Lepisosteus oculatus: one gene and its partners. The protein of the gene in region 2 purifies or fractionates together with the protein of the main gene of each other region. This does not show direct contact. Links are inferred from orthologs where the notes say so. Each region holds a gene or a part of one and is shown on either strand. Other genes may lie near its edges.

Evidence for each region.
Region 1: the proteins of OTU domain-containing protein 1 (region 2) and flncb purify together in Homo sapiens (affinity purification with mass spectrometry; 3 studies listed by BioGRID and IntAct, with this or other methods). This does not show direct contact. The link is inferred for Lepisosteus oculatus from reciprocal best matches to the Homo sapiens genes OTUD1 and FLNC.
Region 3: the proteins of OTU domain-containing protein 1 (region 2) and keap1b purify together in Homo sapiens (affinity purification with western blotting; 3 studies listed by BioGRID, with this or other methods). This does not show direct contact. The link is inferred for Lepisosteus oculatus from reciprocal best matches to the Homo sapiens genes OTUD1 and KEAP1.
Region 4: the proteins of OTU domain-containing protein 1 (region 2) and flna purify together in Homo sapiens (affinity purification with mass spectrometry; 3 studies listed by BioGRID and IntAct, with this or other methods). This does not show direct contact. The link is inferred for Lepisosteus oculatus from reciprocal best matches to the Homo sapiens genes OTUD1 and FLNA.

What each region holds. Positions count from the first base shown.
Region 1 is NC_090702.1:40,730,333-40,738,902, reverse strand, and holds the start of flncb (filamin-C), read left to right. Parts: upstream 1-5,257; 5' UTR 5,258-5,701; coding exon 5,702-6,071; intron 6,072-8,570.
Region 2 is NC_090701.1:54,987,782-54,995,716, reverse strand, and holds the start of OTU domain-containing protein 1, read left to right. Parts: upstream 1-4,422; coding exon 4,423-5,829; 3' UTR 5,830-7,935. Other genes in the region: c6h10orf67 (uncharacterized protein C10orf67 homolog, mitochondrial), read right to left, coding at 970-1,090, 2,186-2,431, 3,975-4,096. UniProt on the Homo sapiens protein: Deubiquitinating enzyme that specifically hydrolyzes 'Lys-63'-linked polyubiquitin to monoubiquitin.
Region 3 is NC_090706.1:16,416,320-16,424,368, forward strand, and holds the start of keap1b (kelch-like ECH-associated protein 1B), read left to right. Parts: upstream 1-4,758; 5' UTR 4,759-4,865; intron 4,866-5,298; exon of another isoform or gene 5,299-5,403; intron 5,404-6,660; exon of another isoform or gene 6,661-6,704; intron 6,705-8,049. UniProt on the Homo sapiens protein: Substrate-specific adapter of a BCR (BTB-CUL3-RBX1) E3 ubiquitin ligase complex that regulates the response to oxidative stress by targeting NFE2L2/NRF2 for ubiquitination.
Region 4 is NC_090697.1:66,962,019-66,970,394, reverse strand, and holds the start of flna (filamin-A), read left to right. Parts: upstream 1-5,238; 5' UTR 5,239-5,476; intron 5,477-8,376. UniProt on the Homo sapiens protein: Promotes orthogonal branching of actin filaments and links actin filaments to membrane glycoproteins. Anchors various transmembrane proteins to the actin cytoskeleton and serves as a scaffold for a wide range of cytoplasmic signaling proteins.

The DNA of each region.
Region 1 (8,570 bases), on a different chromosome or scaffold from region 2:
TTGGCAGTGTCATTTAAATATGTGTCAGAATAGTGCAAGGCTCTATACAGATGTGAATATGGGAAATATGCATTACACTTATATAGTTAATTAGACAATATTTCAATTAGAATAATGTTCATAGTCTCAGTCCATCTAAATACATAAAAATTTAAATCTAACTTAATCTTGTGAGGTTAGTTATACAACTGGACGTATGCAAAGCAGACCTGCAGTAAACTACAGTACCTACTAAATACTGTCATAAAGTGTTTCAACATTTCTTATGTGCAAGTTCTTGAGTTTCATTGGTGAACACAGATCTAGCTGTCCTGTGTTCCTAGCAAAAAAGAAATTTGCTGATAAGACTCTATAGATGTCAGAAGACTTTCTCAGTATAGCCTTTGACATGTTTTCAAGGAGTATATGGTCATCTCTGCACAGATACCAAGAAAGATAGTAAGTCAAGGATATAAATGAGGAATGATGAGCAATAGTTTCCTTGCACCAGTACTTCTGTATATCATTTACTGCTTACATATAACAAATGCTTGTTATATATAGTAGTTGTGCTAAATGTCATAGGTTCTTAGACAAGTTTTTAAGTATTCTCTACAGGAGTCTGTTTCTCAAATAAGTGAGTTCAATGAGCCACGATCAATACAAGTTGGATTTTGACTAATTTGGATGTGTGCTCACACAAGTTACACTTAACTGAGGACAGCTGATAAAATAAAAATTGAATGGATATGAATGGCGAACATCATCATGCCTTACTTAAATCTCTGCAGTAGCTTTATGTCAGTGAGGGTATAAAAAGTATAGCATATTGTTATGGAAGAGAAAAGGACAGAGATGTATCTAAAACGTTTTTTTTTATGACTGAAGACAAGGCAGTGGGCAGAAACTAAAATTATGAGAGATACAGATTACAGTACATTTACATTTTATGCCAATTTATAACTGTTAAATCATATAACAGATTTTATAATGAATCCCAATGTGAAATAATCACAATTATATATGTTTATTTAGCTGATACAGGCAGAATCAGGTATAAAAATTTGAAATAAATTGACTGAATATCATTGGATTAGTTCTTAGAATGACTGATATGGAATCAAGATTTGCTGTGCAATGTCTTGATAGCAAATTAATTAGTGTCAGTGAGATGCAGTGCCAGATGCTCAGTTAGCTTTTAAAGCATGATGAGTTTCTTTAAAGCAAGAAAAACTGAGACAAAACCTAGTGTTCTTACGCTATCCAATGAAGGGGCCTAAGATGTGCATGACTGCTGAAATACTTTGCCGTAATAAGTGAATCTGACATTATAATGAACCCACCCAACCATATTGTTCTGCAGTATTCCAAATCCTGTCTAGATACTGTAGCTGAAGCACTGCCAGTTTATGCTTTTTTTCTTACTTTTTATGCTTTGATATTAATAGTAAATACAATAAATAAAATTGAACAAGTAATAGGTGAACACCTTATTCCATGCTGAAAAGAGAATAAAGAAAACACAACGTTTTAGCTGTGGAGCCTTCTTTGGGTGTGAAAATTGCTTTATATTTCTTTATATTTTAATAAAATTGTTTTAGATTTCTTATTTTGATCAAAATCCTTAAATCGAATACGGATTGTAGAATAAAAGCTGATTATTGGCTTTCACAATAATCTATCCAGGTAACCCTCACATCAGGAATGTTCCAGAAATAAGAAATGCAGCATTGCCGGAATAATTGTTTCAGGATTATTTTAAACAAAGCTGATTTTTTTAAAGGTCATTAATTTTGAAGGTTTGAATCCTGGATCCTTTGGATCCTAGCCCTCATCTGCTGCAGTCTGAGAAATTCCTATTACTGTAGCCTGTTTGCAGTTTACCCACATCACAGTAATTGGGTATGACATCTGTAAGGGGTCATATGTTTCCATTCCCAACAGGATCCTGTGGTTCCTATGACAAAGTGAATAGCTGGGTGAGATCACTCAGCCATGGGGTCGGGAGGCAGGATACAGAGTCTTTCTGGGTTTGGTTTCATATCTGATATTTACTACTGATTGAGATCCCCAAGTGGGCAGCATGCACAGTAAGTGTGGCTGTTAGCACTGCTGCCTTGCAGCTCCAGTCTTCTGGATTTGATTCTGGCCCCTAGGCTTCCTTATTTGTGGAGTTTCCATGTTCTCTCTCTGTATGTGTGGATTTCCTCCAGGTGCCCCAGATTCCTCGCAGCCTCCAGAGACATTCTGGATTGACTGCAGTAAAGTCTTTTTCTGAGACTACTCATGCTCTGTCATTCTTTCAGAATTCTTTCAAAATGCCCTCAATTATTTCCTTTGTGGATCTGGAATGGACTGGTGTCCCACTCCTATAGCTTGCCACAACTCTCACCAAGATCAGTAGGTTTCAGTTAATTAGGGACAACTACATCCAAGCATTACCTGTATATGCTTTGTGAATGTTTGGTTTGATTTGGTGAGATCCAGTAGGTGTGGCTAGACCCACTTGGTTAATGTTGCTGCCCATGTTTATAGTCCTTGAGATCTTGGCCCTATCCTTGGCACTAAAATTATTGTCCAGGGTTCAGTCCTAGTGGAGATGTTAAAAGAGAGCATGCTCTCTGCCAGACTAGTGTAGGCCAACTCTAGGATGTCTATTTGTACATACAAGCGCCTCAGCCTTCTCAAGAGATATAATTTCTTCATGACTTTTTATAAACGTACTCTGTGTTGTCTAGGAACTTTAGCTTATTATCAATATACTGTATGTACTCAGATATTTAAAACAGGGAGCAATCTCCACAAGCTGACCATTTTTATGCATCAGCTGTGTAGCTGGCTCAAACCTCCTTGATTGTAGTACTAATTAGTTTGTGCTCAAGATGTTTATTTCCTAAATAAACTGGCACCAGTTAATAAGAATTAATACTTTGTCATAGAAGAGTGTTTGGTCTGGCCTTTCACTTCCCTGCAGAAGGTCAAACAAGGCCATGTTGTCAGCGTATTTAAACAAGTTAAAAACATCATCATTGCTCTGCATTTAATTTGTGTGGATCAAAAACTACACTGGTGATAAAACACATCCTTATGGATCTCCATTCACAAGAATCATTTCCCCAGAGAGTATGCCATTCATAACAATCCTGCAAGGATCCTACAGAGTTCTAAGGGGTATGTTCTCAGGATTTCATGCAATATACATTTATACCGGTTTATTGGAATTACTTAATTTTATTTCCATAAAATTCAGTAGTAGCGGAAGATGATCTTTAATACCAAACCTGCAAGTATCCTTCTAGAACCATATTGTTTCATTATATTGTTGAGCATACAACCTTATTATTGCCATCGCGATTGGTACAGTGACTTGGGATAAAAGGTTATTCAGTGTTTAGGCAGGCTGTGAACAAACGCCATTGTCTGTTTTGCTGTTAAGGAGGTTTTGTTGTTTATTTTTTTTTACTCTAATAGGTTTAACAACAGTCATCTGCTGTACAGAGGGTCCCAGACAGGGGTCCAGAAGGAACTAGAAGGGAAACCTATGTCTGTTGCTGTTTAGCTTTGCATTTTTATTTATTTAGACAAAATGTAACATTTGATTGGCTTTATTTACAAATATATCGTAGCTGATACGTTGTTTCTTTCTCCTTTTCAGCGTGGAATTAACCTTTACTTGTTTCTTTACAGCGACTTCAAACGCCCTACTTGAACTTATACGGATTGTTATTTTTTCCAAAATGCAGCAACGCTGTTTTTATTTTTACGTACAGATTTTAAGTTACACACAGCATGGCTTTCACAAAAGAATAGATCAAAAGGCAATTCCTTATTACTGTTCAGAACCGTTAAATGTAGAAATCGTAAAGTATTTTAAAAGTGTGAAATACTCTATTTCCCGTCTAACGTTTGAATAAAAAATATACAGTAGGTCGTGGTTAAGAACACAAGGGATCGATAAGTCCTCATGTTGTATGAGTATCCTTTTCCTCGTGTGAAGATCAAGTTTATAGACCTATAGAACAAGTGTTATCCGTTAAATCAGATGTTACTGGTAAACAATGTGTAGGACTCACATTCGATTTCAAGCTTGTTAAGTTATATTTTCAAAGTTCAATTCCAATATCTAAAGTTATCTTGTTTTGTAATAAATTTTTTCCCACCCGAAATAAACAAATGCTAATATTGTAGTAATGAGCGAATTAAAATAAGTATATTCTAACACGATTCGTAAATCCACCATTTGATTCAGGCTCTCGCGTTACTTAAACTATGATGCTGTATGCTTTCACAGGCATGCCTTTCAAATGTTCTAATAATTACACAGGCTGTATCAGGAGTACACCATTTGAAATGTATTATACATCCTTGCTAGAAAAGTTTTATGTCTTTCATAGTAAGAATTTTTTTTGTGGTTCTTACTCACGCTCAATAAAAATCTCATGACCTTTCTCTTTAGAAATTGCCGAGACATCAAGTGAAAGAACATACAACAGTAGTAATTCACCAGTAAAAGTTGTCAGATCCCATCTTTGTTTATTAAAGAGAAATTTTTCACTATGAGGCGACACATAGTTGCGGGCCTATGTATTGTGCTAACGTCAGAGGTTAATAATTGGAGAAACCCTGCTCTAAAGACGAGGTATGACCTCATACCTAATGTTAAAAAGAAAGGGAGGTCGAGACAACCTATTGAGAAGTGGTCTCTCCTGTGTTATCCTTCCCGTAGTCAAGAATAGAATATGAGTCCAACTCAGCTGCTGGGTATCTACTCGTCTTAATTTATGTGACTTACTCCGCAGAGAGACACTAATAATAAACGACCTTGTAATGTAGACTTGTGAGCACAGTTAAGTAGACGTCGAGCCCTACGCAAAATACATGATATATGATCAAACACAACCTGTAACATTAAATGCAGTAGGTTTCGCAGTGTACCTAGCCGTCATTTTCCTTTCCTAGCTCAATTATAAACCTTTGATGACCACCCACTCACTTACACACTGTCACAACCCAAAAAACTCCAGCCAGCCCCCGAAATCCTGATTTGGAGCGGCTAAAAATAAAGTTAGTTGTCACTACCGCGGCGGCACATGGGGGCTAGCCAATCATTGCCCCTGCTATCCTTAGTGTCCAATCCTGTTACATATTATTATCTCCGTAGGATTAGAAAAATACCCATCCTTTAGTTGTATATGGTCATGGCAGAGACATTCCGGAGAATCCTTCCCTCTGACGTTGTAAAGGGGTCTCAGATCTTTTTAAACCCCTGTCCTGTCTGTTCCTCCATTTAGTCACACAAGTTAACAAGCTTCTCTTAACGCAGCTCTGCTGATTTCTTAATACTCCTCGCCAGGAGCAGCTTTCTTCTTCTTCTTCTTCTTCTTTTTAATATACTCCTGCTCTAATCTATAGTGTCTATTAAGAACTAGCTAACACATTTCTCACAATATTGCCAATTAAAAAGGGGGACTGCCTGCCTTCCAAACGAAAACCGGATTCCTTAATTTATCATTCTGCTGACAGTTCTGCTTGGTTTGACAAGCCCAACCATTTTAACAAGTAGCTCTGAAAAAAAAAAACTAGTTTTTGGAACTTTTCAGAGCGCGCGCGCCTGGCACTGCCCTGCCAAACTTTTTTTTTTCCTGTTTCTCCCCTGCGTGCAGTAGATTTCACACTGGCCTCATTGATTGCGGTATAAAAAGGGGTCACGGAGACCGAAACCATGATGAGCAATAATACTTACTACGAGCAGCAGCCTCAGTACTACCAGGGCACCAACAACGGGGAAGAGCAGGAGGAGATGCCCGCCACGGAAAAGGACCTGGCGGAGGATGCACCCTGGAAGAAAATCCAGCAGAACACCTTCACCAGGTGGTGCAACGAGCATCTGAAATGTGTCAACAAAAGGATCAACGATCTACAGAAAGATCTCAGCGATGGGCTGAAACTTATCGGTCTGCTGGAGGTTTTAAGTCAAAAGAAAATGTACAGAAAATACCACTCCAGACCCAACTTCAGGCAGATGAAACTGGAAAATGTCTCGGTGGCACTGGAATTCCTAGACAGAGAACACATCAAGCTGGTATCTATAGGTAAGCGATATGTAGTCACTTTTCCGAAGCTTCGGTAAAACTGCTTTGGTTTGCAGAGTTCACACAAAAGAAAGTTGACATTTTTGTTCCTGCGGGAAAGTTCATTGGAAGAGAGTTAGAGGGCGTCCTTGAGTCATAGAATACAATTTAATTTCTTTATTGGAAATGTGTTTGTCCTTAACACACCCACTATTTATTTTAAGAGATACATTTAGTTTAAATGTTCAAATCAATATCAGGAGGCTCATTTAATAACGTACTCATTTAATTGTAATAGCCCATTTTATAAGCCAAGATTGACATGCTCATTAAAACAAAGTTGAGCAAGTGTTGGACACAGTACGTGCATTAACATCGCACCACCTTGAAACATTCCACTCGCTTTTGACGCAATTAATGTATTAGTAAAGTGGCATTAAATCAAAACTTCTATATACTGTGGATATAATGCAAATACATGAACATTTTTTTAATTCACTGAAATATGACTGTATAATGGATTACATAGGATGCCCTGGTGTATGAAAACTTCATAAATAAATTATCATAAAGAAAATGTCATCTTCTGGTAACACCTTAGGTTTATAAAACAGTGTCTAACTGTGTCGTTTGTGTATAAAATTAAAATGTGACCAAAATATTTTGTCATTTATTCTTTAGTTTTTTTCAGCTTATTAATTACTACAGCTTATTATTTTTGGGGGGATATACTTAATTTGCTAAAAGTTAACACATTCGTCTGTGACGAATACCTGTGAGAAATTGTGGAAGATTTGCGACTGAGGATTTTAAAACTTTTCAGAAACATAAAAAATGCTCAACATGACTCCAATTATGCTACGACACAAAAGTAAAATTATGACTATTTTAGACGGCGGGTACTTTAGAAAATGCAGAAAAAATATGTTGTTATTTATGTTGTTGTTGCTTTATATAGTATTGAGGTATTAAATTCCAGCATTTAATTGACATTTACTGTAAGATAAAGGTTTTCATTTTTTGTAAGTGTGTTTTTGTGGCCTTTTTACGTATTAGCACACCCTCAATTTGAATGGTTTATTTTATTAATTATGGACAACGTACCATTGTTTTGCACAAAGTATAGGAAAAGTAATATAAAAGGTAAACTATTAACATGTTTCCTTTCATTAGCAGAACGGTTCCTTTCGCCTTAGGAGCATGCTTAGGTACTCGTTTTTTTCAACCAACAGTTATTTGTCTTTTGCTAGCTTTTTATTTGAATTAAATTTTCTAACAATTTGTTAATGGACTAAGTATAAATATTCGTAGAATAGTCCCCGGCATCTCCTGTGAAAAATAACTGTAGCCTTTGCGCCCAATAAAGATGTTCTTTGTTTCCAGTCTTGTTCGGATCCCCTTTTGACAGTTTTAGTTAGTCATTTTTTTGTGATTTTTACTGAGATCACGAAAGAATACAATTCAATAAGAAAATTCAAATTTTCTTATTCCAGCTTGGATATATTGCTGACTTCTGACATTTTCTGTATATCATCTGCTACATTACATGCTGTAGAAAAAACCCTTCATACAGTACGTGGGAATAAAGAGAAACAAAAAGAATATGTAGTTCAGAAATATATAATTAAATCAGGTGTTGAAGAGACAGTTAATTACTTTCCTTCCCAAGGTATCCGAGTTAAGGTGGCTTTCTGTTAACGTTTAAGCTGGTCTTTAATGACACTTGTCCGTAGAAATGTTGGTTTTGTGGAATTTGAACTGAAACCAAAACAGGAATCTCTTAGGTCAAAGTTGTATTTTTCGTTCGGCACAATTTATCGTAAAGTCTTTCATTGTGCACGTGCACTTAATGTTAAACCTGTTAAGTAATTAAATAACATCATTTTTTTTATTGGACATACTAAATGATCATCAGTGGAGAAGAAAAGGCAGGCAGAACCTTTCAACAATTAAAGCTGCACTTTAAAGCAAAATGAACCTATGTACTGTAGCAACTTGGTGGTTAAGCAACACTGCTAACTGCCTCACAAGTCTTGGGTGCAAAGTTTGATTCTAGTCTGCAGCACCTTCCACAGGGAGTTTGCATGTTCTAGCCACATGGACTTTCTCCAGGAGCTCCAATTTCCTTCCACAGTTCACAGACATGCCGTCTAGGTTGTGTGGCCTCTCTAAGTTAAATGCATGTGTGTTCCCTGTGGTGAACTTGCGTCCTTTCCAAAGCTGATCCTGCTATTCACCCTGGGTTAGGCTTTGGCTCACTGTGATGCTGTACTGGACAAAGTAGTTATTAAAAATGGATAGGTGGATGTAGTACAGTTTTTTATGTGCTCTGCAATCGATTATAGTCTGCAATATATTTGTACTGTACGAAACATATAATATCATTTGAGTGCCTTTGCTTAATGGATATCATGCTGTTTTGAAGCCCATGACCTAAAAGCTAAAAGCTTTAGTTAAACTATAAGCTTTGGTTTTCCTATAACAAAACTTTGCAGCTGTGTTAGGTCAGCTGTAAAGTGT
Region 2 (7,935 bases):
CCATCTTTTTGTAATGGTGAACTCCTTTACTTGTACAGTATCTGCTACTTGTTTTGTCATGCTACTCGTTTTAAAGCACTGCTCAATAATTATGGAAGCACTTTCTTTTACTGAAGCAGGCAATGGCAGTGTCAGTAGTCATTGTTTTGTTGCATCACCAGTACAGACAAGTGAGCCAGTTACACTGCTGGTGTTAAGTGGTGTTGGCAGACCAACAGGTGACACTGTCTCAAGAAACTTTAGGATTAAACACATGATTGCAAATTCAAGGAAAGTCAATTTACCAGTTTCAGACACATAAATAAAACAAAACTTTAACTACACAACTATAATTGACTGCATGAGTCAGTACTCTGAAGAAAATTAAAAATCGCGTAGGCAGGGGCAGAAGAAAACTTAATTCTGAATGTTAATTTTCTCTGCTTGAAAGAAAAAGAGTAGTTATTGTTTTGATGCATCATCAATACAGAGAAGTCAGCCAGTTCCAGAAGCAGCCACGCTGACTTCAATGGCAGTGGAACAGACTACTTCCTTGATCAAGTGACAAATCTGCAGCACCAGTCGTCACAAACAACAAAACCTCAAATTATTATTTTAAGGAAACAAATACGCTATTAACAAACACCATTAGCAACCCAGACACATTGGTGAACCTTTAAATATACTTTTTAAAGTGCACATGACTTTAAATTGCACATGGTGTGGTCTTTCCACAACCTTTGAAGATTGATAACAATATCCTGTTTAATGGACTAAGGGGCACTAGTCATGTAGTAATAATACACGACATTGAAAGATTTTGTTTTAGGATGTGAACTAAATTAGACTGTTTGAAGTACGCCTCATCCATTTCCCCTAACCACATTCTTACATGTCCTTGCAAACATTTTGCTTGCTAGACTACAAGAAAATGTCTTAATAATCATTACTTTACCCTTTTGGTCTCAGCAGTGACGAGCACAGTTTTACCTCGAGTAAAGTACAGGTGACTTCTGACAGCTCCTTCACTCTTGGCAGTTCAATGACATCGGTCTGTGTGGAGGCGTCTCTTCCAAAGTAACCGTATCTCAGTTGATTTCCCAATGAGTACCTTTAAACGCGTGTTGTTAATGAAAAAATAAATACATTAATGTGACAGTTAACACATCTTACAATGTTTGGTGTTTGGAGTAGTGGTCAGGGGAGGGTCAGTGGTCCAGCTCGTAACTGGAAGGTTGACATCCCATTTGACACACTGGTGTTGGACCGAGATATTTCACCTGAGACTCTCCAGCAGAATATCCAGTTATAATAATTATTATAATAATAATAATAATTTCTTACACTTATATAGCGCTTTTCTGGACACTCAAAGCGCTTTACAGGTAATGGGGATCCCCTCCACCACCACCAGTGTGCAGCTCCACCTGGATGATGCGACGGCAGCCATAGTGCGCCAGAACGCTCCCCACACACCAGCTCTCAGTGGGGAGGAGAGCAGAGTGATGAAGTCAATTCATAGATGGGGATTATTAGGAGGCCATGATTAGTAAGGGCCAATGGGAAACTTGCCAGGACACCGGGGTAACGCCCCTACTCTTTTCGAGAAACACCCTGGAATTTTTAAAGACCACAGAGAGTCAGGACCTCGGTTTTACGTCTCATCCGAACGATGGTGCCTGTTTACAGTATAGTGTCCCCATCACTGGGGCATTAGGACCCACATGGACCACAGGGTGAGCACCCCCTGCTGGCCCCACTAACACCTCTTCCAGCAGCAGCCTTAGTTTTTCCCAGGAGGTCTCCCATCCAGGTACTGACCAGGCTCACACCTGCTGAGCTTCAGTGGGCTGCCAGGTGTAAGTTGCAGGGTGATATCTACAACTATCCTACAAAGTTAAAGCCTACACGTTATAAACCTGATGCGATATGTAACCTATCACAGCTATGATACTTGTAGTGCATGGAACAAAAAAATAATCATTTGTATTGCATGTAGGTTTAATATTATTTAAAATATTCTGTTATTAATGTAAAAACCAAATAAAAAATAATCTGAACTGAACCCGAAGGCACAACATCACTTTGCGAGGCGGTAGGGGGGGGTTGTTTTTATTTTAACCCGACTGCCGGCAGAAATAGCGCGGACAACAGAAAAAAAAAGACTGAAACCCATCAAAACCCATTCAGTACCAAAGATTTATACCTCTCGATATCCCGAAGTTCTGAGGAATACAGTCTCTCCTCCTGCTCCTCGGAGTTTCCCTGCACAAGCACGTCCATGTTACCGGCGTGATCGACACGGGGGCGCCGCTTGCGTCGGTTTCCATAGCGACGGATCTCGCCCGCTCGGCGGTCAAGACCCGGATAGAGTTGAAGGAAGCGATGGGCACGGACAGTTTGCCTTATTTCCTTCAGGATTATTATCGGTATAAACACAAGTTTCAAGCTGCTGTTTGTAAAAAAAAACCCCACACCGTCATGTAGTCAGATCAGATCGCTGTACGCTGACCATTTACGTTTGTGCAAAGCCGGTGGTGTTAAGGGAGGAAAGGCGCAGTGTGCTCTTTGACACACTTTCTCATTCGGGCTCCCATTTGGGACTGAAACGGAAAAACCTCTGAGAATAAATGCTTATTTGAAATGCATTAAGGAATAAGGAATACAAATGAACGCGTAAAAAGTTATATAAAAAATAATAAAAACCGTAACATCACTATACTGTACTTGATAGGGATCCCTATGAATAAAAGGGATTTCAGAAATGGGGCAGTCTAGTCAAAAGTGCTAGAAGGTTGTTTGAATAATTCAGTAATAATGAAGCATTTACAATAGGGAATAAAAACCCATCCTTCACAATACAAATGGTATAATATACTCTATTGTTCAGCAGAACTGTGGTGACAGTTTTAAAATGTTTTCTACTTCTGCGCTGCTTCCTTTGTCTAACGAACTCCTGTGAATTTAGAGCATTTTCATAATTAAAATGATAACAACGATTCGACTGACAAAGTGGGTGAAGTTGCTGGCGTTGTTACCTCACAGCCCAGGGCTGCCTGGGGTGCAGTTTGTGGGGAGTCTGTATGTTCTGCCTGTGTGGGTTTTCGCCGGGCGCTCCGTTTTCCTCCCACACTCATGGGGGAACTCGACCCTGCTGTGGGTGTGTGTGTATCTGTGTTTGTGTGTGTGTGCCCTGCAATCGGCTGGCCCAGGCACTGGCGTCACGCCCAGGGTGTTTTATCGCCTTGCGCCCTTTGCTTGCTGAGATCCTAAATTGGATGGAAACGTTAGCAAATTGATGGGTGGACTTAACGAGGTCTTCCCAAAATCCAGCGTGACACCAGTCTTTATTTTGCAAATGCAAAATGAAGCATACTGACTGCAGATGGGCAAGGCATACAGTACCATCCAGCCGACAAGCGCAAGGCTATGGTTTTCGGAAAGTGTTTTACATCACTTGGTACATTCGAAACAAAAAAAAAAGGAAAACTGTCAACATAAAGAACTGCAAAGGGCTGTGTTATAAGGCAATACAGGACCGCACTGTAGTCCTTAGTTTGATCATGACGTGAGCAGATGCTGAATGTCTTCCCTCTGAGACACCCATGAGAAATAATGCGTCACATCCCGTCGCCCATCATCTTCTATAGACGTGTGGATGCACATGCCGTTCAGAGCGAAGATGGCCCATCGGTGACGGCAGTGTCTTTTAAAGCGCGGCTTTAGCCAAAAGGTTGTGGAAACACTACGCGCATTACTATGGCCATGCTCACTACTTCACAAGGGGGGAACGCCCACCCCCGTCAGCGTGGGATATTTTGCCAAAAGGCTGGTGTCAGTCTCTGCGCGCTTCCCCTCCGTGAAGCCCGCAAGCCGGCGTAAATAAAAATAAAAAATAAAAGCCAATAAGATCGCGGTAGAGGCGGAACTTCCTGATTTCCTCCCCCCCCAACACCACCTCCCTTGAGGTCAGCGCAGTGTGTTTAGTAACTTACGCGTAATGGTTTTCCGTCAGTGCTGGCGAGGGTCTGGCATTCCAGCGCACTGACGCCACAGGCTTTAGGGGGGTAAACAGAGCTCCAGCCGAGCGCAGTCCCCAAAGTGTCCCGTGACACATCAAATAGTTCCCATTCCAGCTGCACAGTCAGCAGCCGGGGCAGGCGCCCGGGGGGACTCTGTTATAAGAGGATATGAAGAGAGCCGGGGTCCGGTTACATTGTTCCGGGCTATAATTAGCGGAGCTCAGCGCTGACGCAAGATGGCTAAAGTTGGATCTTCTGTGTGTGACAGCGGGAATTAGGATCAGGAGCGCCGCAGGAATAACTTCACGGCCCGGACTGCGATGAGTGATGACACTGGCTATTTTTGAGCGGCGGGATCATCGCGTGTGGCTACCTGGGACCTCGGCGTTTCATATATAAAGGGTGCGCGGTTGGGAAAAAAATGCAGCTCTACAGCAGCGCGTTGACACATTACCCCGGGTCGTCCTGCAAAGTTTCGATTCCCATTGCAAATATTGACGGTAACGCGCCAGCGACTGCGACTGCAAACACCGTTGCCGCGAGTAACGCTGATTATCAAATTCCTGCACACGGAGTGGAGGAGACGGGGGCTACGACTGCGCCTGCCGCGAAGATGCCTGCCTTTTCCTGTTATGAACCAGTTCCCAGCTCGGCGAGCAAGCCGAGCTACTACACTTCCACCGCTCAGATCCTGGTTACCAAGCCCGGTGGGGTGGAGAGGTTCGTGCCAGTCCAGATTATGAAGGACTCCCGACGTGGCGCAGTAGACCTCTCCGGAACATACTTCGCTAGTCCGGCAAGCTCGCCGGTTCTGGACGCGAAGGGCTCCTGCTCGCCCAGCGCCCTGTGGCTGGGGGACTTAATCGACACGATGAACGGCGAACTGGGCGCGCTGGACGAATACCAGAAGGTCCTGGAGCACAACATGATCAGCTTCGACAGGAAAGCGGACGGAAAGCGTTTCACGAAGGGCAGCGCCCTGAGTGGTCTGGACCACGAGTGGCACCAGAGCGCCTGCTCTCCGGGCGAGGGTCCCCACGACGCCGAGGCGCCCGACACGCTTTTGAACGACAGGGTGTCAAACGCCTGCGAGGATTTGGCGTCTCCAGAAGCTCGGCTTGTTGGCCGGCGTTGCCAGGAGAGCACGGAGCCCGCTGGCACAGACCTTGCCGGGGAAGCGCCAGGCGACAGCCTCCTTCAGCCCTCCGCCCCCGGCGTGGGGGGCAGCCGAGGTGAGAAGAACGAGCAGGTGGCACACTATCTCGCCGAGGTGGAGAAGCAGAACAAGTATCTCCAGGAGAGGGAAAAGTACAGGTTCCACGTCATACCCGACGGGAACTGCCTGTACAGGGCTGTGAGCAAAGCAGTGTACGGCAACCAGTCGGCGCACAAAGAGCTGCGGGAGCAGACGATGCACCACATCGCGGATCACCTGGACGAGTTCTGCCCCATCATCGAAGGCGACGTGGGCGAGTTCTTGATCAACGCCGCCCAGGACGGCGCCTGGGCTGGGTATCCGGAGCTGCTCGCCATGGGCCAGATGCTGAACATCAACATCCACCTCACTACCGGGGGCAGCGTGGAGAGCCCCACCGTGTCCACCATGGTCCACTACCTGGGCGACGAGGACCCCTCTAGGCCGAGCATCTGGCTAAGCTGGCTCAGCAACGGACACTACGACGCCTTATTTGACCGGCCCCTACCCAACCCGGAGTACGAGAGCTGGAGCAGGCAGGCGCAGGTCCAGAGGAAACGGGACGAAGAACTGGCCAAGTCTATGGCGGCGTCTCTGTCCAAAATGTACATCGAGCAGAATGGATCTACGTGACCTGCTCTTAGGGTTCCGAGATGGCGTACCGTACAATTGTGCGTTCTGTCCGAAACCGAAATGTATGTTTCTGAAATAGGGCACCTTAATCACAGTTTGATGGCACTTTAAAACGCATGCAACATGCCGTACAGAAATTGCCTTAATTTATTTTTTTCTAAACCGAATGTTTTTAATGCATTCACGTGGAGCTACTGAAGGTTGCGGTGCACCTGCGTGTTGTATAGATTTTTTTATCATTATTTTTGTATGGAAGTGCTGAATTTATATCCACAGGTCGGATTCCTTACGTTGTGCGTAGAGGTCGCAAAGAAAGAAGTTTACATTACTGTGTTACTAGTACCAGTCCAACTAGAGATAAAGCACAGGACTGAAGTTTGGGAAGAGAAAGAACAGTTTTTTGACAACTTATTTTTCAGGTGTGCGAAATTATATATGTGTACATTTATAAACTTTATACACTTAACCGCTGATTGGTAATTGCGTAATGAGTCTATTTAATTGCCTTTTTGTGTTTTGCTGGGTCGAACACTTGTTTTGCTGCAAGATCATTCTATTCCAGGCTGTTTGCTTGTCTTGAAAGCGCGGTATTTTGTATCGAAGATCTGAATCTTATTTTTTTAAATACTATTTTTTTTCTAAGTAGATTGCTGGATCGGAGACGTACCATTGTAAGACTGAAAGTTTTGTTTCGTGGTTGCATTATCATTTTGAAGTAAAGGTTTAATTTTTCTGGACGATTTAAGGTGTTTCGTTTTTACTATTTGTGCTGTTCATTTTGGGAGGATCGGTTTGTGATGTATTATTTTTAATGATAATAATGGCGGTAGGAGCACTTTCGACACCACCAACGTGAAAGCTGACAGGAATAATGCCAAGGTCATTACAATGTTGTGAAATATTACGAATGAGGTAAAACCAACTATTCCCACACAAGAGAAAATTCCAAATCTTCCACTTACTGATAAATGTCGGTATTGCCAAATATCAGGCTGTGTGGACAAAGCCTACTGTTTTCCAGACGTTGACTTTTATCAGTACTATGTTTTAGTTTTAAAATAGTTATGCATTGCATTTATCAATGAGTGATTATATTGCACCCTGACCTGAATATTGTAACGCAACGGGGGCTCAGGCGGGCGCCCTTGCCGCATCTGGTCGGCCCAAAGTATAGGTGGCTCGAACCCGGGACTTCCGCGTCTCTCTGCAGCGACCCAGCCCCGTGAGCTAAAGAGAGATCTCTCCACAGCCCAGTCGCTGTAGTCCTGCTATCACAGGGAAGGGCGGTGACGTCACCCGCTCTGGTACGCCGGCTCTTACACACAGTGCTTGTCGGCCGTAAGCATTACAATATGAAATCTAAGAACAACCAGCACAAGTTGGTTACCTGTTTTTCTTCTTGCTTTTTTGGTATCATAAAATGAAATTATAATAATAATAACAATAGTTGCTTACACTTATATAGCGCTTTTCTGGACACTCCACTCAAAGCGCTTTACAGGTAATGGGGATCCCCTCCACCACCACCAATGTGCAGCATCCACCTTATTGGAGCCCCCCCTAATTTAACTTCACTTCTATGTTGTGTAGGAGAGAAGGAATGTTCTACATTCTTTTTATTACATGTTTTATTGCAGTAGCAAGTTGATGGTGGAAAAGCAGTTGACAGTTTAAAAAAAATAAAGCTATTACTGCTCTTAAATGTTACGTATAGGCTTATAGTTTATGAAATGCTTGATTATGAAATGTCTGAATTTTGGCAGGGAGCTTGGGGGCAGTTTGTAGATTTTTAAAATGTTTTTGTTTGTTTTTGGTGTTTGTGATTTAAGAATATATTCTTTTCATTCCTAGAATTCCTCTAAGCTCCCCCTTCAGTTCGTGACTTCATGTAGTCAGAATGAGCAAAACAACTCCTGATGAAATAGTTGGGTCATAAACCAGTTAAGGGCCAAGATAATTCTCTTTTTTTTTCAAGCAGCGTTGATACAACATTCAGAATAAGTTTTCTTCTGCCCCTGCCTACATGGTTCTTAGTTGTCTTCAGAATACTGACTCATGCAGTCAATTATAGACGTGTAGTTAAAATTGTTTTATTTCTGTATCTGA
Region 3 (8,049 bases), on a different chromosome or scaffold from region 2:
TTTGAGAAAACAAAAAGACAGCTGAACTGCAGGGCATGTTTTCGCACTGCCAAGACAAGAGGTGGATGTGCAAACCTCACAAGCCTTAATGTGGGTTATGCAAAGCAAGGACAGGCCGTTGCCTTGTTGCTGGAGTGAAATGAGAAGAGTTTTAACTGGGCATGCCCATTACCTAGGCATGAAATGGCCCGAGGCAGATCAGGGCAGCCATTCAAATACAGCCTAAATGTCAACTCTTCCATCACCAGCATATTGCTTGATTACACAGCAAAGACGCAGACGTGAAAGGCTCCGCTCCTGAAGCTCGAGATTTTAATCGCACAGTTCACCTGAGCTATATAGCTCTCTGGGTCCAGGTTCTGTTTACAAATTGCCAGATGTATAAGGGATTCACCTGGATAAATCAAGCCTAGGTAGTCCAAGACCAAACCCACGAACTAAGTTATGGTGGGCCCTCAGAATGGGCAGCAGGAGAGGGAGGTGTAGCAAAGACGACTCATTACACAAATGGGCAACACATGACTTTAAAACAAACCTCAAATATCACAACTGTTGGCCCCTCCTATCGCAACCCCAGACTTCCAGGCCGCTTTCAAAATCTCCAGTTGTCCATGTTCTTTCCCCATTCACCCACCCATTTTCTAACCATTTCATCCAACTCAGGGTTAAGGTGGCCCAGCGCCTGTCCTGGGAAGCAAGAGGCACAAGGCGGGATACACCCCAGACTGGGACAGCAGTCCATCGCAGGGCACACACAGACACAGACACACACTCACACCAGGACCAATCTTCCCTGAAGCCAATTAACCTACTGGAGCGCCTTCAGGACACCCACGTGAATGGGGGAGAACATTCAAATTCCACACAGACAGCACCCCAGGTCCAGAATTGAACCCAAGACCCCAGGGCTGTAGTGCCGGGAGGCAGCAGTGCTAACCTCTGCACCACCCCGCCACCCTCTTACCCTACGCAAAACACGGCAAATGACATTTCTTGAGGACAAGCTGGAAAAATCACTCTATAACAGGTCAGCCTGTCATAGGAAGCGGTCTTTGTGATTGTGAATTGTAGATCGTGTCATTAAACTCAAAACGATTGAACGGTTCTTGCAAATTAAAAAAAAAAACATTTGTAGACATTTCATAAACGGAAACACATGGCGCACTAGTGACGCCTTGTGGGCATCCTTTTTTCTACAAGTAGACGCTAGAATTGCAGGCGACTCTTTTTAAAACCAGCCGTTTTTAGTAAGATACATAAATTTGCAGGAAGCGTTGGCGTAGACGCGGAGCAACAGGTAAGAAAGCCTGATGGCCATGTATAAATACTGTCTGTACTCCTATGGAGGCTTACCATAGGTAACATCGACCCTGGAAGTCAAAGAGATAATTCCAGTCACGTTTCACTCATGATTGTTTTTATCCAGGAACAGGCCAGAGGCTACCTTCCCACAGACCAGAGATTTAGGACAGATACTGGATCCTGAATCTGGGACTCCATAACACAAAATCCCAAAGGCCCGATACATTCCTGTTTCAACTCGCCAGCAGCCATATCACCCTGCAACCCACTGAAACTCAGCAGGTGTGAGCCTGGTCAGCACCCGGATGGCAGACTCCTGGGAAAGCTAAGGTTGTTCCTGAAAGAGGTGTTAGGGGGGGCAGTAGGGGGCGCTCACCCTGTGGTCTATAAGGTCACTTTATTGGCCATATACAATTTCTTGCATTAGGAATTTATCTTTTCGCATACCCAACTTGCTCTACATGAGACACACAGACAGGGAGAGAAGGTTGGGGTCAGAGCGCAGGGTCAGCCATTTGTACGGTGCCCCTGGAGCAGCTTGGGTTAAGGGTCTTGCTCAGGAGCCCAACGGAGTAGGATTCCTCTGCTGGCTATCCCGGATATGTGGGTCCTGATGCCCTAGTATAGTGATGGGGACACTATACTGTAGAAAGGCACTGTCCTTTGGATGAGACGCAAACCGAGGTCCTGACTCTCTGTGGTCCCAGGGTGTTTCTCGAGAAGAGTAGGGGTGTTATCTTGGTGTCCTGGCCAAAATTCCCATTGGCCTTTACCAATCATGGCCTCCTAATAATCCCCATCTATGAACTGGCTTCATCACTCTGCTCTCCTCCCCAATGATAGCTGGTGTGTGGTGAGTGTACCGGTGCGCTATGGTCCCCATTACCTAAAACGTGCTTGGAGTGGAGGGTCCAGAAAGTGCTATATAAGTGTAAGTAACTCAAAAGGGAGATTTTCCACACAGCGTTACCTATTCCTACACACTCCACTACTGACAAGACAGGGTCTGTTCTGATCTGGCCTGGTCTGTACCTCCTCTGCAGTCACTGCCCTGCAGGTTATATGGTGAACAGGTGGATGCTGCACATCGGTGGTGGTGGAGGGGAGTCCCCATTACCTGTAAAGCGCTTTGAGTGGAGTGCCCAGAAAAGCGCTATATAAGTGTGAGCAATTATTATTATAACTACAACCCTTCAATAGCAGACTGTTATGAAAATGAATGAAATCAATCAACGATTCAGTTAAAGCTTCTGTACATCCCGGAATTCCTCTCTCTAATTCTCCGGACCCACACATTATTTAACGTGATCAGACCGTCTTCCAAAAAAAAAAAAATTGCATTCTGGAGGCCATTTTTAAAAGACGCTTAAATGCAAGCGTGTGTCACTTCATATGTCTGAGCCCTTGGCAATCCCAGAATCCTTGCCAGGAACGGGCTGCATCACTGAAGATTATGCCCACCCCTGTGTCAGCATGTCACAGCCTTAGCTCTAAAGCAGAGGAGTCCAGTCTCAAACCCAGGGGGACCACTGTGTCTTTAGCGGGGATTCCCAGTCTTAGTCTTGGGGACCCTCACAGGTCAACCCCGATTTGAACCAATTGCTTGGCATGGGTTTTTTTTTCTGACTAAAGGTGGATCTTAAGTTACTTACAAAACAGAATAGCTGAAAGGCAACTTACAACATGTTTATGAACAGAAAACAATGGAAGTGTTCAAATTAAACGTATAATTGGGTCTATTAAGCCACCTGCACACTTTGATTGAGTGTGCAGGTGGAACAGAAACCAGCAGGTATGGGGGTGCCCTGGACCAGGACTGGGGACCCCTGATCTATAGAGCTTCATTCTAGCTCTAGCTTAATTTGATTTGTGCTGCGTGGCTGCTGGGACATAATGACTAAGGTGTTAGTGGGGCCAGCAGGGGGCGCTCACTCTGCAGTCTATGTCGGTCCTAATGCCCCACTATAGTGACAGGGACACTATACTGTAAAAAGGCGCTGTCCTTCGGATGAGACATAAAACCGGGGTCCTGACTCTCTGTGGTCAATAAGAGTCCCAGGGTGTTTCTCGAAAAGAGTAGGGGTGTTACCCTGGCATCCTGGCCGAATTTCCCCTTGGCTTTTACCAATCATGGCCTCCTAATAATCCCCATCTATGAACTGGCTTCATTACTCTGTTCTCCTCCCCACTGATAGCTGTATGCCTGCCGTTGCATCATCCAGGTGGGGCTGTGCAGTGGTGGTGGTGGAGGGGATCCCCATTACCTGTAAAGCGCTTTGGGTGGAGTGTCCAGAAAAGTACTATGTAAGCGTAAGCAATTATTACTAATAATTATTACTGTGTGTCACCCAGATGCATCCAGCACTCCAGGGCATGAAATAATAATAAACCTATATAGAGCCCTAAAAGAATCTTCTCAAAGTGCTTAACGGTCAAAGTAAACAAAACACCAGTTACAACACAAGAACAGTAACAGGAAAACTGCAAACTCAGTAGCCTTCCAGGACCATGAGTGGACACGCGTGCTCGAAAGCAGTGGTCCACGGCTCTGGTCACGTGTCACCCTACCCAATACCTGCTGGTCTTCAATCGCTTAACTGATCTCACATCACAGCAATATAAGCAATATTCGACATTTTCTTCTCCTGCAAAGACAATGTTTTCAAGTTACTCGCAGATTTTGTGATGAAAAAAAAATCTGACATATCCAGGACTGAAAACAATCCAAAAAGGTCCAATTGATAAGAAACTAAAATCTGGGGTTCGATTAAATGATCGCGAGCTAAGATCAACTGCGGAAGACAGAAGAATAGACAGTAATTCGCAATTGATCATTCAAAACCGCTGGTGTAATATTATCTTCTGTTTTGCGTCTTAAAACCGCAACTGTCACACGTACAGTACGCACTTAGACAAATACAACACTCCCTGTCAGCAATATATACACTGTATTTTTAATAAAGTGTTAGTTTTGCCATTTGAATAAGACAAATCGATGACGGCATCTGCTGGGCACAGCATACGAATGGCAATAAATTACTTCAAGGGGAGTTCCTGTTTTGACGCAGGTATACAATAATGGCAGCACAGAATTAAAAACAAAATACAGAGTAACGAAAGCGTATGCAGTCACTACGTGGTGGAAGGTAGAGATGTTTGGCACACGATCACGGATGACTGATCCATAAAGGGGCTGTTATTCTCTCCAACCAAAGACAGATCTGAACAGTTGTATAGCGCACTGCATTCATGTAATCTGGACCAGGCTAGGCTGAGTGCCAGGGCTGAGGGCATTTCTATATTTCCCCTTTCCTTCTGTATTATTTTCCTGGTCCTCTTCCGTAAGAGTCTCTCTCCCTTTCTGCCAACATGAGGTAGCCCCAGTTGTTAGCGGTGGGGCTCTTATTTTGGCACAGCGAGAAGGTCCGTACAATGCTTAGTCATGGTGAGTTACGTCTTCCCTCAACCCCCCCTTCTTGCCCGCCCCCCCCTTTTTTCCTCTAAATTCACGGCAAACACTGAGCAGCGATAGAAATGTACGTCTTGTGCTACAAAAGATTTCTGTAAGTAACCACCGCCTGTATCGAGCGAAGGCGTCTTTTAACGCGGTTTGCGATTTGAATGTTTTTCCTGATGTATCGGGCTTTTTGTTCTCGGTGACTAAAGCATGTTATCATCATAGACACGCTTGCTTTGCGAGCCGCGATAAACAGCTTACAGTAGCAGAACACAGATGGTGTCAGAAGAGCCTGCGAATACTTAATCAACAAAGCAATACTTGCTTGTGAGCTAATTAATTACTGGAGTTTTTTCTGTTTTAGTTTGGTGCATGAAAAACGAAAAATATGAATACCGATTCCACAGCATTGCTGTGGAAATATTACTCTAATGTAGTATAGTAAGCGCTATGCATCATCGCTGATGTCTTTTTTACGTGTTTGTGACTGTCAGTTGGTTATGCAACAGGATGACAAAACTACAGGGCTGATCGCTTTTTTTTATACTGCTTAAAGTACTGTAGCGTCCAGAGAAGTGTTGTTTGCGCTCTGGTACAGTTTGTAATCAGTAGTGTCTCTCTCTTCGCTAACTGGTCATGGAAAGGTGAGTCACTAAGGGGGGGAAGGGATTTTATGCAAAAAATAATTGCAGTTTGTTTTTCGATCCGCTTCTATGCTTTAAGAAACGGTGCATTTTTTTATCCAAACCTTCTTAAAAGTGTTTTGGCTCGGCTAGATGTGTAGCCCATACAAAATAGACCATTACGTAACAAAGTGTAAGTGACAGTGTTAACTTTAGTGGCTTCGATCATATTTAAGTAGCTTCTGGAACCGCAGACTAACGTGCGTTTTTATACATTAACTCCTATTAGATGCGAGGAGACATTTGCACTCTCATTTTGTGGTGTAGACACAAATTAAAATATTTTAAAGGTCCATTTGAGCCGCTTTTACTGCTGTATGTTAACTCATTCAACTCATCCATCGGATGTTTTCTGTGTGGGAAAACCATTATCTACACGATAAGTAAATAAGTTATTTTCCATAGTCCATAGTCCCAGATTATGGAAGAGACCCTTTGCGTTCGTTTTCAGAGTTTAGTTAATTTTACATCGAAAGAGGAAACGGTTATTAAAATATTACTGTACTTTGACCGAAACTTTCAATTTGTGTTCCACCTTTTCAGTGTTAAGCTTGGTCTCGATTCATATCTCTTACATATGAATATAACACTCGATGACGGGTTTTAATTACCGGAACATTAAAAATAAACGCGAGGCGTGTCACTGTTCCCTTGTTTGCAGCAGTGTTTTTCATTTACCGGGGGACGCGTGTTTTCTCAAGCGAAGTCGGTATCGCGGGGTGGGGTAACAAATCTCTACTCTAGTCCGGGGATTCTAGGCCATTATTGCAAGGTAACCCTGTGTATTATCCTGTTTAATATTATAAGTAACCACATGCAACACTCATATTAGCGAGACGTTAAAAATAAAGGCCAGGTTTGCTGTATAGACTACGGTTAAATAATATAAAGACTTACACCAGACTGGCTGTAACGCGAACATTTGTTGACCTGGTTTTGTAAACCTGACCGTGGCACTATAACCTATCATCGCCTTAAGTTTTAGACCTTTACAGGTATATGTTATGGTGCATAAAGCTCCCGCTTGTGAAGAAGAAAAACAAAAAATATTCCAGCGCACCGAGTCCATTTTTTAACCACTGAAGTCTTTTTTTTATGCTTGTTCTTCCAAATTCTTTATGCGCCGCACACCAATGCTTATTTCATACACAGAAGTCTTACACAATCACACGCCTCTTATTTTTTCAGTTTTCTAGAGATGACGAAGCTGTACACTACCTGATTCCTTATATCCGGCCCAACTATTGGAATTAGAAAGTTGCAGGTCATGTTGAACGATGTTGCTTTTAATATAAATTAAATGAGAAGGGAGGACTGGGTCATGTTTACGTGACCCACTGACAGCCCACTGTATTTCCCAGTGCCTCCCACAGTCTAAGACACGAGTGGATCACGCTAACAGCTAATTACACGAACGCACGTTTTATTTTCACGTGAAAACACTTGGCTTTTTAAATGTGTATATATATTTGTGACTTGGCAAGTTTTGAAAGCCCTATTCATGTTAACGAATCATTACACATCTCATTTATTTTATGCAATCTATTTTTTCTCAAGCCATTAAGAGCTGAGGTATAATGAAAAAACATTTTTTTTGACACTTCAGGACCTGGAGTGCTGATCACTGCCCAAACAATTGTATCTTCACAGCTGTAAGCTCTCAAAGGACTGATATAAATTACATACACCTGCTCACTTTCATGCCAAACAAGCTTAATTACTTAATTGAATCCTTAATCGAACTCACAAGGTGATTGGTTGAAATACTTGCCAGCCCATTCCTCCTCTCCCATTTCTTTGCAGTTGTATAGCTTGTCCTGACTTGGAAGGTCCAATTTTAGATGTCCTATTTACTAGATGAAGAGAAGATTAATAAATGAGAGTTCTTAACTGAACTATGGGAGGAAAGGCAACACTCTGTGCCACAGCTGTTCTAAATCATAATCATTCTCAACATCAGTTCTTGAAAGTTGTATATATCATAAGCAGACCCCACTTTTCACATTCATCTCTCTCCCGGGGGGGTCCCAGCATCCTTTTCCTGTGGCTGGGGGGCCAAGACAAATTTCTGTCCTAATTGTTCTGTCACATTCAGGGCCGCAGCAGAGCTGGAGCCTATCCCAGGAAGCAAAAGGCACAAGACGGGGTACATCCTTGAAGGGGGCCGGTCCATCACAGGGATAGGGCACACACAGACATAAAAATACACACACACCTGTGCAATTTGTGTAGAAATTGACCTACCAATTAAGGGCCAATTAAATTACCACTATGTCTGTGGACTGTGGGAGGAAACCCGGAGCAGAAACCCACATGAACAACATACAAGCTCCACACAGATAGCACCTGTCTGAAACAGGTGCTATCAGGTCTGGAACAGGACCTAGGACCTCAGAGCTGCAAGGCAGCAATGCTAATCACTGCACCGACATGCAGCCTGAGCCAAATGTCAATCAAAGGCACCTGTTTCTTGGCTGTCATTATTCCTCATGAAGCCACTTTCATGCATGCTTTGTAGTACTGTCCCAGCATGCTCTGCACAGCCAGCTCTGCATTGTACCTGTTCGAACTAGTGGCAGTATCAGAGGTCAGTACAAAGGACTCAGA
Region 4 (8,376 bases), on a different chromosome or scaffold from region 2:
AGACAGTGTTTTTGCAGTATCCCCTGAGATGTAATTCTCAAACAAATTAGGTGTGCAGTGTACACATACAGTAGCTCCAGCCCTATCAGGGCCATGGGTTAATTTCCACAAGTTCAACACATCAGGTTTGTCACAGCATTTACGTATGAAAATATGACTTGTAAAAAGTATCTGCAAAATCCAGGGTCCACACCCAGTTTTTTTGTGTGTGTGGAGCTCAGTATCACATGAAGAACCCAGATGAGTGTGGCTTGCACATCACAGAGTGAGAGAAAGAGAACGAATCTAGTACTAGATCAGAGACTTTCTTATTGTCGCTTAAAAGGAAAACTCAAAAACTGAATATTTTCCATCCAAGATCTGATGTCTAATACTCACTGAATTATTTCTACCTTAATGGCTTTATCTCAGTTCTTAGTGTTTTAAGTTGTATTATCTCAAATAAGCTTGATTTATAATCCTAAATGCATTATTTTTGTATAATGAAAAAAACGGAAGAAAAATAAATCTTTTTGTTATGACTCATTGTTTTGTGTATGGTTTTCATTTTATTATTTTAAATATGTGCTGCATGATTTATGAAGGAAATGAAAATGAAACTTAAATTTCAAAATGGTTTTTGGACACCATTTTATTTAAATGAATATCTCTATTTAATTCAGTTATGGTCCAACTATTTGATAGTGATACAATTTATATTCACCATGTGCATACAGTACCTTTCATTTAGAGCTTTGGAGCACATTTAGTAAATTGCTTTGTTTCCCAGTCCTTATTTTTTCTCTTTCCCAACATGCTGATGCTGATGCTGAAATATAAATATAATAAAATAATGTAAACAATAGAATCCACAGCCAAAACATTGCCTTTCCTTTCTTTTCTTTTCAGCATGGAATAAACCTTTTACTTGTTCCTAATATAGTTTACTTACTCATTGTAATGAAACAAATTGAAAGGCACAATTCAGAAGTATTATTGACATTTGATTTATTAAATGGCAATAATTTAATAAAATATATTTTTGCAGGTTTGTGGCTAATATATAAACGTAATACAGCATTTTTCCATACAATCCTGTGGGTGTACCCTACCTTTGCTTTGTTTCAGTCTAAACTGAAGAGACTTCTGCTATCTCTTTGACTTTAACCTGCTATTTTAGAACCATAGATATTTATCCTAGCCTTGCCCCTTCTGATCTTCATATAGCTATCCATCATACAGTATGTGTTTTCTTTATTGTGACCTCAATGCACATTCATAAGCACCCTGTAATGCCTGGTCTTTCAAGCATTTTGACCTTCTTTTATAAATATTGTAACATTCCATGTAGTTACATAGTATACACTGCACAGAAATGGAGAATTCCTCAACACCTGTACTTTCTATATGCCTTCCTTTTGTACTTGGGGAGACACCCGGTTCAATAAGATATTCTCAATACTGACCAGAATGTAACAGACTCACAAAGATCGGGAGAAAAGCTTTCACTTCTATCCTGAAATCTAATAACCATTAGATTATCTTAAGAGCTATCGACCCATCTCACTACTGTGAATCACATACAAATTTTGGGGTACTTCCTGAACACAACAGAAAATACAATGCATTCTATTTCTTAGAATACGAATGAACTGGACATTGTGATCAGAACCACTGGGATAACATCATTCCTATATATCCATCCATTTTTAGAAAATCACTTAATTCTGGTAAGTCAGAGCCTTAGTACTAAAGTAGTCTAAAGTCTGTTTAAAGCACACTGCTGCCCACTTTTCTGTCACTCTTCCTGTGCAACTGCAGCTAGCTGGAAAATGTTTGTCACTCACAGTTGTCTCATGTTGATTAAATGAAAGTGAAAGTTCTGTTGGTATCAAGACAGGAGAAAATAATGGTCACTATACGACTTTGACAGAGATTCCTTCAAATTATAACTCTATTAGTCTATGGTTTTGCAACATCCTGCTGAAAAATGGACACTTGCAGATTTGCATGCAGGAATAAATTATTTGTTGGCTTAACTTTGTATCATTGACACAAATCTTGTTTTACAGATTTCCTTCTATATCTTCACACTTCCATCATTATGCATTATCTTCTGTCAGATCTGTGAAGGGTTAAACAGAGTTAATCTGTGAACAAAACATCAGCACCTCCACTCTCTCTGCAGCCAACGCTGACATTCTTTGGTACACAGAAGATGACATTTTAATTTCTCAATGTACTACCCATGAATGGACAAGTAGACCGATTATTTTCGTGAATATGGAAAGCTACAATCATTCAGCTGATTCTTTATTTATTTCTTCCTGGAATATCTTCTGTATCCAATGCAGTCTGAAAAGTATTATGCAGGAGGATGAGATGAGTGTAATGGTTCTGGGTAGGTATGGTGACCCTGTTTTCCAGGACATGGTCTGTCTCTCACACGGCCGGTTCCCTGGTGTCTCTGGACTAGTCTGCTGGTTGAGTTGCTCTCAAAGACAGACTAATTCAGTTATTCTAATAGCATCCACACAGTCTTTACTGCCCAAGCAGGGTACACTTGTATATTTCATGTTATTTTTATTTTGATAATTAAAATCATACCTATTGAATAACTATTAATACAGTTTCTTCATCAACTCATTTCTAGTGTTTTTATAAAATCCCATGATCCATGCTCATAATTTATCCATGGAACAATAATGCTCATTCTATACACCTTTCCCATGTTCACACTGTTTTAAAAAATAATATTATGCAGTAGATGCAACCAGTTATTGATGTCGGCTATTGATATGAACATTAAGACTGCTATATGATTGACTGATTTTTATATACAGTAGTGCATGTTTTCAGCACAAAAATGTAATTGTCACCCAGGGAAATAAATAATACCATAATTGTTGCCTGACATGATGTGACTATCTAAGCAAAGTTGCAGAAATTTGCATTGTTTGACATTTTGGTTAACATCAGGCTGTCAAGGTCAACTTACTGTATATATTTTAAGGTATTCCGGAATCATAATGCTTATTGATTTAAAATGTGATAAACAAACTAAACTAAAAAAATAAAGTAAATGAATTTCTGCAGGTAACATTTTTTTTCTCTTAAAGTTAATTTAAGTAACATTGGCAAGTCATACTTAAGTACACCTTGTAATTTGATGTAGCCAAGCTTTGAAGTATAGTGTTGTGTGACAGAGTATTCCCAGAGTATGAGGACTAAAGGGGAGATCAATTTGATGAGAAAGTTTTTTAGTTGAGTGCCGGAAAAAAACACTGTGCCACAACATAAGGCAGGAACGGTAAATCAATTTACAGAATATTCCAGACAATGAAGCAGAAAAGTGTTATGGATAATCATGTCCTAACTTTCTTATTTTTTATATTTTAATCAACTGGCATGTACATACAGTAAAAAGGTCCTATGCACTATGTCTGGAAGGAGTGGGTACTGTCACCATACAAATATTTTGGCGGCAGCAGGTTGGTTAGCAGTAGAGTTGGTGTAACAGAACCTCATTCTGCCTCCTTTCGCTCTGACAGTCATGCTTCCTGTGCAGATCTCCTTTCCCCTGCAGTCAGAAAACAGACATGTCTGTTGCTCAGGGTCAGTAATATTGTGTTGCATACAACCGCAACAGAATGGTACACAAGCTAGCTCCTGCATTACTTTACAGAGATACTTCGGATTCTCTGCTGTCACTTAATCTGAGTTGCAGACTGTCCTGGCCCTTTGAAAGAGAGGATTCCACTGACTCCCACAGATCTGCGACCCATAGTGCATTGCAAAACTACTCACCTGTTGAACGAGGAACACCTTTCGGTGTTAGAGTGTGTACTGTATGCAGCCACAATGAATGATAATAATGAATAATTGCTTACACTTACATAGCGCTTTTCTGGCCACACCACTCAAAGCGCTTTACAGGTAATGGGGACTCCCCTCCACCACCACCAGTGTGCAGCCCCACCTGGATGATGCGACGGCAGCCATAGTGCACCAGAACACTCACCACACATCAGCTATTAGTGGGGAGGAGAGCAGAGTAATGAAGCCAATTCACAGATGGGGATTATTAGGAGGGCCATGATTGGTAAGGGCCAATGGGAAATTTGGCCAGGACACCGGGGTTACACCCCTAATCTTTTTGAGAAACACCATGGGATTTTTAATGACCACCGAGAGCCAGGACCTCGGTTTAACGTCTTGGCTCAACGACGGCGCCTTTTTATAGTGTAGTGTCCCTGTCACTATACAGGGGCATTAGGACCCACATAGACCACAGGGTAAGCGCCCCCTGCTGGCCCCACTAACACCTCTTCCAGCAGCAACCTTAGCTTTCCCAGGAGGTCTCCCATCCAGGTACTGACCAGGCTCACACCTGCTGAGCTTCAGTGGGTTGCAGGGAGATATGTCTATGACTAATTAGGATTCTCACCTAAAATTTCCCTTAATCCAGCCATCCAAAAAATACCAAGTTCTAACTGTTTCATCCAGTTCAGGGTCACAAGGGAGCAGGTGTCTTTTCTGACAAGCAATGGGTAAAAGGCAGGTATACATCTTGAACTGGACATCAGTCCAATTGCAGGGCACACATAGACAGACACAAACACACACCACTGGACTGTGGGAGGAAACCAGAACACGGAGTAAAACCCCACATGAACACGGGAAGAACATACAAACTCCACACAGATAGCACCTCAGGTCTGGAATTAAACCCAGGGCACCAGCACTGCAAAGAAGTAATGCTAACCACTTTGCCACTATGCCACCATTTCTCTTAATTTCTAAAGTATCTTTCTTCAAAGAGTTTTTTCTTTCTGTCTGTCTTCCCCCCCCCCCCACACACATTTTATTCCAACATGAGCTACTCAAACTCGATGCAGTATACAAACTTCAGCCCACAAACGTCTCTAACATACTCTCTCACCCCGGGGCAGTCTGCAATTCTGCATGCTCTTGCAACACCTACGTGGCGGATGACCAAATGCCTGAGCTCACTTCTAAGCTAGAGAGAGGGAGTTCAAGTTGACCAAGGAGTGCCCTTCTTTAATGCAGTAAAACACTCACACAATGCTTTCTGACATCCCACAGGGCTAGAATGGATTTAAAGTTGTATATGAGAGCCGAACGGGGTGACATCATACCTTTAAAATCCAAAGGCGGGGTTCCACTCACGCGTCAGCTTTGCAGAACACACACACTCAAAAAGCCCTGTTCACATTTGATATTTTACCAATTAAGGATTTTAAATAGGACGCAAAGGGGAGAGAGAGCGAGAGAGAGAGAGGGAGAGAGTTAACGAGAGGGTGTCACTTCTGTTCTCCCGTCTGTCGAGGAATACGAACTCATTTCCCCAAGAGAAGCACTTGGGGAGGGAAGAACATTTCGTGCTATAACACAGAGCAACTTTTAACGCAAACCTGAAAGAGATTGTTCGGTGTGCCTCCGGTCGCTGAACCAATCGAATACAAAGCTAAAAAGAGTAAGTTTTGCAGCTTTTAACCACATATTTAGTAGCGGGCTTGTCAACGTTGCGCTTTAATTTTAAATTCACATTTTGGGAACTGCTTGTCTTACGTCTTACAGCGGCTATCGTAAGTAACGGCGCATCACAAGTCTAATGATTAGCAATTCTTTTACGTTCTGCCATTGTCAGAAATCTGTTTATGAGTAATTATATGGGACTGATTGATAAATTGCCAAAACAATCAAATAGTTATATGGGTCAAAATGGAAGGGCTTATATTTTAAATTGTAGGGTCTTATTAATCTGGTGTTGTGATTTGTCGTTGTTTGTAAAGAGTAATTATTCCTTATTTGATTTTTATCTTTGGAGTTTTGGAAGCAGTTGATTTGTGAAAAGCTGATGCTTTGTGTGCAATCTTTGTTTTATGACGATTAAATGTGCTCATGAAAGCTAAATAGAAAAATGTCAGCTACAAATGACAGTGCGCTTATACAAATTTGCATGATATGGTGCATTGCCATATCAATTGCACCGTAGGTTGCAATATAGATGTATTAAAATATTCCATGTGCACAATTGTTTATCTGGTCGTAATGTCATTATTATTAGTTGCTGTTGAAGTGGAGTGCATTTACAGGTGTCTTGTATCCTCCGCGCATAACATGATTTTAATGCATCAGTCATGTAATCTAATTAAAATCTCTTCACCAAATAAGGGAAACTATGAAAAAGTTTATGTATCTGCTTCTGCTAATCGGGAATATTGGATGTTGACGGTGGCGCCCACTAGTGGTAACAACCGTTTTTCAACATGAAATCAAGGAATATTTTATAAAAAAGAATGAACGTTATACTTTGAATGTTTGTGGCTTTTTATTACCATTTCAGTCTTAATGTAGACTTTTGGCCGTTTTTGTTATATATTCCTGACTGTTTTATATTGTTTGTGTGTCAGATCGTTTCAGGCATGGTTAGTACACAAACTACACCCCCCATTCCTCTAGATTAAATTCTGTGCATTAGTGCACCATATGCAAGTAAGTATCAGTTATTTATCTTTTTTCAGAAAAAAAAAACTGCTCATAGTGTATGTTATTGAATTTTCCAGGGCGGACTGTGTGAATTGACTGTGTTGGTTGGTGCAATTTTTCCAGATGTTTAATAAGTAAATAAAGTTCTGTGGGGCAGTTTAAAAATAAAAAAAACAATAATTTGCATTAAATGAGTGATAAGAGTAGAGATATGATTTGAAGTTCGCAATATGAAACACGTCTATAAAATGTTTTCAGTTAATTGTAGGCTGACAACGGCTAGGTGCAGTGTAATTTGAAAACAACAGTGTCCAAGTTGCAGAGAACAGTATGTCAACATGAAACGATGGTTAATATAAAAGTTGTTAAAAGAACTCATCACGCCCATGCCATGCCAGCCACAGTTAGAACGAAACTACAGGATGAGATGTTTTGGTAAACTCAAATCAGTGTGTTTCATTTCTGTGAGCCGAAGACAGGATATGTATCGTTTCCTTGCGGTTGAAGCTGCAAAAACTGGGTCACTGACTGTTTGTGGGGTGTATTTTTAAAATTCTTAAGAAGAGCATTTGGTGAAAATTTCTGCAGAAGAAACGCGTACTGAAAATAAAAGGGTGTGGTCCGTGTGTCGAGAGAGGTAGCGCGATGCAGAAAACTGCAGCGCCATAGCTATAACACGGTTACAGGTCGAGACGTGTGATATCGCTCAACATTACTGATATGCCCCATATTTTTCTACAGTACTGTGCTTCCGTTGGCTATGTCATGGCAGCACACATCACTCTTAAACTCCTGACACATTAGCTAGTAGTTATTATATACTTGCTATGGTAGAAATAAAAAAAAATCATGTTTGTGATAGAAACTATCACGGTATACCTACTGTACGCGTTTTTATGTCGGCTAGTAAGTGATACAATAAAAAAGATGTTAGATGCTATTCGGTCAACAGTTGTGTTTCAGTATAGATCTGATAGTAGCAAACTCTTCCGCGACTGTTGTTTGCTGAATTATGCCATAACGTGTTGTTGAACTACATTAACGTACGTCACAGTTCTGCGTACTTAATATACCGGTACCAACGATAAATCCATACTATTGTAATGATACATACCATTAAATTATTGGTTTAATTGGAATTTGCCCAGGGATATTGAATACGTTTCCTGCGCAACAAGACTTTCCTAATACTCGCGTTAAGTATGGGTGTAGAAATCCGCATAATGGTTTTGCCAGATATTTAAATTCGGGGGATACAGGATGTTGGGAAATCACATTCAGAGAAAATGCAATATCACTGCGGAATTCTGTGCAGGATTAGGCAGTTGTTTGAACGGGACTGCTCATATTCTCTTTCAACACTGTGGTAGAATGTCCTGAGACATAAAGACGAATAGCCCGCAGTGTGATCTGACGTAGAGTTTGGCTGTTGTCAAGGCGACAGGACTTCCGGAGTATTTGCAAAACTGGACAATGCACAGTGAAAATTATTAGCTTTAGTATTTGTTATAGGATGCCTTCAAAAGAACAACACAGTTAAACGAGACTAATTTGGAGCGCTGCCCCGAGAAACACAAGTTTGTAACAAAATATTATCCGAAGATTTGAGCCAATACAGCACCATCTGTTGCTGAAGTTGCTGTCAAGCCTCCAGGCGTCTTTTTTAAAAGAATTCCCGAGTGTCGGATTCATCAATAAGTCTCTGGGAACTTAGTTCCAGATCACTACTAGCTTCTCCTTGTAAAGAAATGCCCCTTGTTACATTCCTTCCATCTCATCTCGAAACCTCGATGTCTTGCTTTCACTGCCGAGAAGTACTACACTGAAGTATTAACTGTGACAATTTGGAATAATTAACGTTATCTCTTGTTTAAAGACGAAATG